2 linked regions of the Daphnia pulex genome follow. The main gene of each other region encodes a partner of the protein of the gene in region 2 in a complex. Links are inferred from orthologs where the notes say so. Each region holds a gene or a part of one and is shown on either strand. Other genes may lie near its edges.

Evidence for each region. The genes of interacting proteins can lie anywhere in the genome.
Region 1: the proteins of cleavage and polyadenylation specificity factor subunit 6-like (region 2) and cleavage and polyadenylation specificity factor subunit 5-like are in contact, whole or in part, in a crystal structure (PDB 3P5T), measured with the Homo sapiens proteins. The link is inferred for Daphnia pulex from reciprocal best matches to the Homo sapiens genes CPSF6 and NUDT21. Residues at the interface, in NP_008938.2 of Homo sapiens: Trp90, Trp91, Thr92, Thr93, Asp94, Glu95, Lys113, Phe114, Glu116, Asn117, Arg118, Ala119, Asn120, Gly121, Gln122, Ser123; in NP_008937.1 of Homo sapiens: Pro151, Asn152, Glu154, Pro156, Tyr158, Tyr160, Pro162, Ala163, His164, Ile165, Thr166, Lys167.

Annotation. Positions count from the first base shown.
Region 1 is NC_060020.1:7,579,735-7,583,255, reverse strand, and holds cleavage and polyadenylation specificity factor subunit 5-like, read left to right. Parts: upstream 1-1,473; 5' UTR 1,474-1,602; coding exon 1,603-1,733; intron 1,734-1,867; coding exon 1,868-2,068; intron 2,069-2,126; coding exon 2,127-2,190; intron 2,191-2,242; coding exon 2,243-2,408; intron 2,409-2,495; coding exon 2,496-2,610; intron 2,611-2,669; coding exon 2,670-2,691; 3' UTR 2,692-2,896; downstream 2,897-3,521. UniProt on the Homo sapiens protein: Component of the cleavage factor Im (CFIm) complex that functions as an activator of the pre-mRNA 3'-end cleavage and polyadenylation processing required for the maturation of pre-mRNA into functional mRNAs.
Region 2 is NC_060024.1:13,144,943-13,149,070, forward strand, and holds the start of cleavage and polyadenylation specificity factor subunit 6-like, read left to right. Parts: upstream 1-1,314; 5' UTR 1,315-1,392; coding exon 1,393-1,452; intron 1,453-1,651; coding exon 1,652-1,888; exon of another isoform or gene 1,889-2,529; coding exon of another isoform or gene 2,530-2,697; intron 2,698-2,847; coding exon 2,848-3,075; intron 3,076-3,331; coding exon 3,332-3,977; intron 3,978-4,051; coding exon 4,052-4,128. UniProt on the Homo sapiens protein: Component of the cleavage factor Im (CFIm) complex that functions as an activator of the pre-mRNA 3'-end cleavage and polyadenylation processing required for the maturation of pre-mRNA into functional mRNAs.

The DNA.
Region 1 (3,521 bases), on a different chromosome or scaffold from region 2:
TTGATTTTTTTAAAATTCCTAATTTAATCCATTTTTTTATGAATAGTAATTGAAAAGGCACGCATTCTTGGAAAAATGGAAAAGTACGACAGGGAGAAGGCTAAATTGGAAGCTAAGGCTAAGGTAAATATAACCACTCCTTTTATTACAACGTAATCTTAACTCATTTTTCTTTTTCTCAGACGCAGAAGAAAAGACATGACACAGAGTAGTGTTAGGTTGTAATCCGGGTAGTTAATTTAAGTAAATTAACGGAGTGTATTAAGCGAGGCGAAAGGAGCTTCTCTCTACGGACTCAGCCGAAACCAGACTGCCCTTCTTCCTGCTCGCTGCTTCCAAGCTTCAGCGCTTGAGCGCCGCACGACATCTAGCGGTCGCGGGAAGAAGGGCACAATAACACAACAAGTAGGAATTGAATAAGAATTTTCTGGTCATTACATTCATGGTTAGATCTATTGTCACGACATATGTCGTGGCGCGACGGTCAAAACTGTCTATTGTCACGACATCTGTCGTGGCAATAAAGAGAAAATTGTCTATCACATTTGATAATGGATCGAATTAAAAGACGAAAAATAGATTTTTGGTTATAGCGCTGGCATGATAATGAAGAGGGCCATGGTTCAAGTCTCATTATAGATTTACTTTTTTTTTAGAATAAAAATATTGTTTTGACCCATGCCCTTTGTTAACCATGACTCAGACAAATCAAAATTTTGCGGTAGAATTTTTTTTCACAAAATTTCATAGAAAGAACATTGAATTTATAGAAAAATTCTGATAAATTTGGAAGGCATTTAGCAAAAAGTCCGACTTAACAATAGGCCCTGAATTTTTCATTTAAGACAGTTTTCAACTGGCTTACGACTATCCCTTCGCGGCGAGCTGATAAGCTTGCTTTTCTATCTTTAAAATATATATATTCTTAAACTGTCCGAAAAAGCCCCTTCTGTGGGGTGAAACCGGACAAAAAGTCAGTGAAACTAAACCGTTAATATTTAAGCCATTTATTACTAAAAAACATTTTCAAAAGAAGTTTTTGAAAGAAGAAACCCTGGGCTACATTTTGGTGCCAAAACAAATACTTTTCTGAGCTTGCACTTAAAGAAATATTAACTATAAACCAGTTTGCTAAATTTTGTCCGGAATAGCCCCTCTTCCCCTACATCTATAACTCTGGTTTGGGAACGCGCGATATCGCTAGAGCAGAGCTATAGAATACTGGTAGCGCCACTGCCATGTTAACTCTTCCTCTCGGAAATTTTATCTGGGGCTGAAGCCAACTTTAGCAATCGATAGTGAAAATCGGAGATAATCGGAGCTAAGATATCGATCTCGCTCCTTGCCACTCCTCCACTTTTCCCTCCATTCCTATACCATGCCATGCGAATACCCTATTTCCCCACACACCCGCTGTGGTGCTTTTAGCTAAGGAGCAGGGCAGGCTTCAATTCCAGAGAAAAAAAGCAATGGAAGAGCTCGTCATATGAGTGGCGGTACCAGTATTCCATAGCTCTGGCTAAGAGAATAAAATTTCAGTTAAATTGCAACGTTGTCAATGCCAGTTTCTGTCAGTCTGCTGAATGCTACTATTGCTTTACCATGGCTTGCATACAATCCTGTACGAATCGCGTCGGTTGGCCTAAAAGTGAAATAAAAACCGAAATAAAAACTGAAATGTCAAACATGAAATTCAATCAGGGATCTTTGACGTTGCACAGAACTATCAATTTGTAAGTATTTTAACCTTTTATGGAAATAATGCCACATGAAGACAAAGAGCAACAATGTTTTGATTGAAAGAAAACAATGTTATTGAACTGCTATTTTCAAACACTTATTGACAGCAACATTCTCTTTATATTAGGTACCCTTTGTCAAACTACACATTTGGAACCAAAGATCCTTTATTTGAAAGAGATCCATCAGTTCCTGCACGATTTCAACGAATGAGGGAAGAATTTGATAAAGTTGGAATGAGACGAAGTGTAGAAGGCATCTTACTAGTTCATGAACATGGGCTACCTCATGTTTTGTTGTTACAGTTGGGAACCACTTTCTTTAAACTGTAAGAGTAATTTACAAAACATCACCTTTCATTTCTAATCTTCAACTTTTCTTCAAAGGCCAGGGGGAGAGTTAAACCCAGGAGAAGATGATATCGAAGGGTTGAAGAGACTACTAACAGAGGTATTTAAAGAAAAAAATTCACTAGTTTATTACTTTTTAACACCCTGTCTAGATTTTAGGAAGACAAGATGGTGTAGTGCAAGATTGGCTTATTGAAGATTCAGTCGGAAACTGGTGGCGTCCAAATTTTGAACCACCTCAATATCCATATATACCTCCACACATAACAAAACCAAAGGAGCATAAGAAACTTTTCTTGGTTCAGCTTCAAGAAAAAGGTATAAATAATTCTTTTCGTCTTGAGCAGTTTGGATATTTTAGTTATTTTAACCCTCTTAATGAACATGATATTTATTCTACATTAGCTCTCTTCGCAGTACCCAAAAATTACAAACTTGTTGCTGCACCCCTTTTTGAATTATACGACAATTCTCAGGGATATGGTCCCATCATATCCTCTCTTCCACAAACAATGAGCAGGTTAAAACTTTAATCACGGTATGATTTTCTTGGGATAATCATTAGACTTTGTTTGTCAGATTTGATTTCATATACATGTAAGGAAACTTCACAAGCCCAAGTTCTCTACACAGTCCAAAGGCGAGGGTTCTGCAAAATAGTCTCAACAATTTGCGTGTTTTTTTATTTGTGGCAGTGACTTTGACGCTTATCTAAGTGAAAGAAGAAACGAAGGCTCATTTAATTCGTTAATCGTCTTAATGTGCGGCTGAATTTGATTCATTCAATAAATGCTTATAAAAGCAAATCTCATTGTGTTCGCGACGCAAGTCGACCATTCAAGTTCAAGAAAATAAAAATTCTTTGTTAAAGGTATGGATGAAACGAAGTAATTCAAGTATATATTTAGTGTAACACTTGGTCGAAAGCCTTCAGACAGATTGGGTGGCTAACCTACTATAATCCTCTCAGACCCGAACGGGGAAAAAAAAGGCTTGACAGTACATTGACAAAGAAGAAGCGAAGTGAGGTCAAACAGTAACGAGAATCGACAGGGGGAAAAAATCAACTAATCTCCTTGTGGACGTGGATTATCAAATAATCCTTCGGCAATAATGAAGAACGTGACCAGTGCGTCGAACGAAGAAGGGGGGGGGGGAGTAAAGAGCAACCCGAGAACAAGCAGAGGGAAGGAGAGAATACGAAATTTAACTCTGGTCGTTGGTAATTACATCAGAACGTGACTCGTTACTCTCTCGATCCTCCACATCGCCCTAGCGACCTCAAAGTGCGCCGTTGAAAGAAGGGGAAGAAAATCGAATACAACAGAGGGAGGTCTGAGAGGTGGTGAAAAAGGAACGATAAAGAATAGATGGACGAAATAAACCTCCCGTCAAACCCAGAATTTCAACAAGGTAAGTGATTTCGTTTCG
Region 2 (4,128 bases):
TCCTATCTCTGCAATTCATTACATAAAACATTCCATATAAATGAAAAAAAATAGATTGACTCACCACAGCTTTCATTTAATGTTTATCACATTTCAACATTTCACTTCGATAAAAAAAACAATCTTCATTGCTTTCACTTCATTAAATTGTAACACATAATAATTCACACAACATTAGCTAAACTCATCACAATAATTCATATCACTAATCACTATTCATATCTGACAAAAAACTCACTTTAAAAAAATTCTTCTCACAAAACTGATGCACCAACTAACAGACAAATATTCAACAGCAGCCAATTTGAAACAACAACTTTCCAACTAAGAATCTGAATCAACACTGAATATCTGACTGTAAAACATCAAGAAAAAAAGAAAAACACAAGGTTATACTAAGAATAATGTGATATCAACAGTACTAAGAAAACATCAATCTAAATGAAGAACTAACCAAGGCCACGGACAAAATAACAACCACGAAACACTGGCCCTGCCAAATTTATTTCCTTTCCTCTGATTTTATTCGACACAAGAGGTGCAACAGTGAGGTATAGAATGACAAACAGAGAAAACAATACGAAAACTTAATTTTTAAATTTCCTAATCAAGAAAAAAAACGAAAGGAGACTTATAAAATCTCGAAGGTGCCACAAAGGGGCTTGATTAATGGTTAATGAAATGGACTCTGTCATTTTTTCGTTGCAGCAGAGAAAACATTGGGTAGTACGTTTATAAATAAAGTAAATACGTTAAGTTTATGATAATTGTGTTGCTTAAAGGACTTGTTCTTTTTTATTTAACATACTTAAGAAGCATCAACATACTTTTTAAAACTTTAAGTACGTTAAATCTATGATAAGTGTGTTGCTAAAAGTACTTGTTCTGTAAACATACTTAATTTCATTTTTATAAACATACTTATTTTTTTGTAAGCATGTTACACTTCGAAGAAGCATGAAATTTTGCTTTTCAGTTTGTTTATAATTCTTACCAAAAAGCGTAACGTGTTAAGTAATCTTAAAGTGCTGAAATAGGGCTAAAATAAGCATCCTACCGAGCTTCCGTGTAGCTTTTAACTGTCGGTCAACAGTATCAAAATAATGTTTTACCTGTCTGACAAGAAAAGACTTCAAATATACTAGGATAACTAGGAAATTATGTTGGATCGTGTCGGATTTATGCGGGTTTTTTTTTTTTGCAAGATTTTTGCGGGATTTTGAAGAAAATCGTGCAAGATAAAGTGCAGGATTTTTAAAAAAAAAAAAAACGGATTTTCGGGACTTTTTAGGCAACCCTGCACGACTTTGCTATTTCAGAAGTGGCAGCACTGGTGGAAACAGAGAAGAAGTTCAAGACTGTGGTCGTTGGCCATAGACTAAACTTCATAAAATGGCTGACGTGCCTGATATTGACTTGTATGCCGACGATCTTGGTGATGATTTTCATGGTGTAAGTTTACGTACTTATTTATAGTTACCGGAAGAATGCGATGTTAATATTCTGTAGTTCGTTTATCAATAACTTATTTATGTACATTTATGTTCATTTTCTGTTGTTATCCCACCGCAGTGTTTGGCGTGGCGTCTTTGCTGTTTACCGTTATTAGATGAGACAGCATCATTTAACTTATTTTCTTAACTGATTACAGGATGGTGACGAACAAATTGGCGATGGCGTTGACTTGTATGATGACGTCTTGACATCTTCAACGAGCATCAAGCAGGAACTAAATGGAAAGGAGAAGATCTCAACGCTATCTTCTCATATCACATCCAGCTCTCTACATGGTTCATCTTCATTGATCGGAACTCCACTTCAGCTTCATGGCAGCAACAGCTCATCACAATCCAAAAGGATCCAGTTGTACGTGGGCAATCTGACGTGGGTACGATTATTCAAACCTTTCCATTTATAAAACCAATTGTTCAAAGTGTCGTTTTATTTATCTAAAAAGTAATTGTGCTGTATATCGAATCATTCCCAGATAGTTCCCAATTGTTTATTTTTATTTTATCGACATTAATCAAATTGTTAAGTCTGTGATATCAACCTAGCCACCATGTTGTTATGATGGAGGGGCTATGATGTGTGATAAAACTGTATGATGGCATTCAAAATTGAAAGAAGGGCATCATGAATGTTGATGTATGTATGTGTATGTGAGAAGGCATACCAATTCAGGGACATGAACGACCATGCATGTTGTACGCTGTGTATCTGCACTTTTTAAATAATTTTTTTTATCATCTATTGATCTATCATAAGTAGTCCATCAAAACTTATCATTAGCCCCTATCAAAACCTTTGACTGAAGGTTTTTGAGTTGTGTTGTATTACGTTTCTCAGGATGCGGTCCTCCATAGAACTCCCCAGAAAAAAAATTCTTGTCAATCAGTTTTGCGTAACTGATGTGCCACATCCATCGCCCCATGTTTTTTTTTCTCCTTTGATCTCTGAAATCGTCATCTCTGCCAAACGATATTTGAGTCGAATGAATTGTTAGTTTGGGGTGGGATATCGCTTGATATGACAATCTCAGCCACGTATTATAACAACCGCTGGCGCCCATGTGCAGGAACATCTTTGATGATGACAAGAAAAAGAAACTGCACTCTGGCATACACTCACTACAAATTGCGCGGCTGTGTAAAGGTGCCCGATCAAAATATCTTTTATTTGACCAATACAATTATGGTATGGATGTAATCGGCAGAAAACGATTTTCATGCTTTGTTTTTCTATATTATCTTTCTTTCTTTTGTTTTTTAAACAAACAAACCCAATCCAAAACAACAACAAACGACAACGACACAACATCAATTTTGTGGTTGTTGGACAATACAGTGGACCACAGATGCCGACGTGGAGAATGCAATCAGCGCGATTGGCGTCCAAGACCTGGTGGAGGTGCGATTTCATGAAAACCGAGCCAACGGCCAGTCGAAAGGCTTCTGCGTCATCACCGTCGGTTCCGAGATCAGCGCTCGTCAATGCATGGACAAACTTCCCAAAAAGGATCTGCACGGACAGACGCCCATCGTCACCTTCACATCCAAACAGGCGCTCAATCAGGTAAGATCAAAACATTTCTTAATCGTTTAGTGCTGCTAGACGAATTTTTTCCAAGTGCATACCAGTAGAACCATTGACTGTCTAAATTGAATACAGTTCAAAGGTGGGAAAGTGTAATGCAACATTAAAACCAATCAAGTCTGTAAACCTACAAGTGTCGTACAATTTAACACTTAACGGACGACTTGACTGGAACATCTTTAAACATTTATGTTTTATGCATTTCTTTTAATGTCAAAATATTTTTCTTATTCAGTTTGAGGCGCAGTCAAAGAGCCGCCCATCTAGACAATCAAGTCCTCCGCGGAGTACCGGTTCTGCTCCATCCGGAGTTCCGTCGCTAACAGTCGGATTACTCGGACCTCCTCCAATGAATGGGCCTCCTCCTAGGATGATGATGGGTCCGTCAGCTTCTTCATCCGGACCCCCACCTTTAACGAGTCTCTCATTACCTCCGCCACCTTCAGTTCGTGGTCCACCGACACCCGGAGGCATTCCCGTTCCGCCACCGACGCATCACCTTCTTCCACATCCGGTCATGTCACCTACGGTCGTACCGCGAGGTCCACCACCCGGCATGGGGATGCGTGGGCCTCCGCCCGGAATGGATATGAATCCTCATCGTATTCCGCCTCCTGGCAACGGCCGGCCAGAATGGGCCAACATAGTCCAGCAGCCAGCTCCTCACGTCAATCCGGCATTCTTCCCTCCGCCCGTTGCGGCACCTCCGCCTGGATTCCCTCCACCGATCGGCCCACCACCACCATTCATCACTGATAATCGGCCACCGCACACCAATGAGCCGCCAAACGTCAGTGAAGCCGAATTCGAGGAAGTGATGGGCCGCAACCGAACAGTTTCTTCTTCCGCCATTGCTCGAGCTGTTGCGGATGCCTCAACTGGTATGTCTTCAAGCTTCATTTTGCTCATTGAACCAAAATCAGTAGTAACTTATCTGTCTTCTTCATCCAATCAGGTGATTACGCCAGTGCAATCGAGACGCTAGTAACGGCCATTTCGCTCATCAAACAGTCAAAAGTGGCGCATGATGAG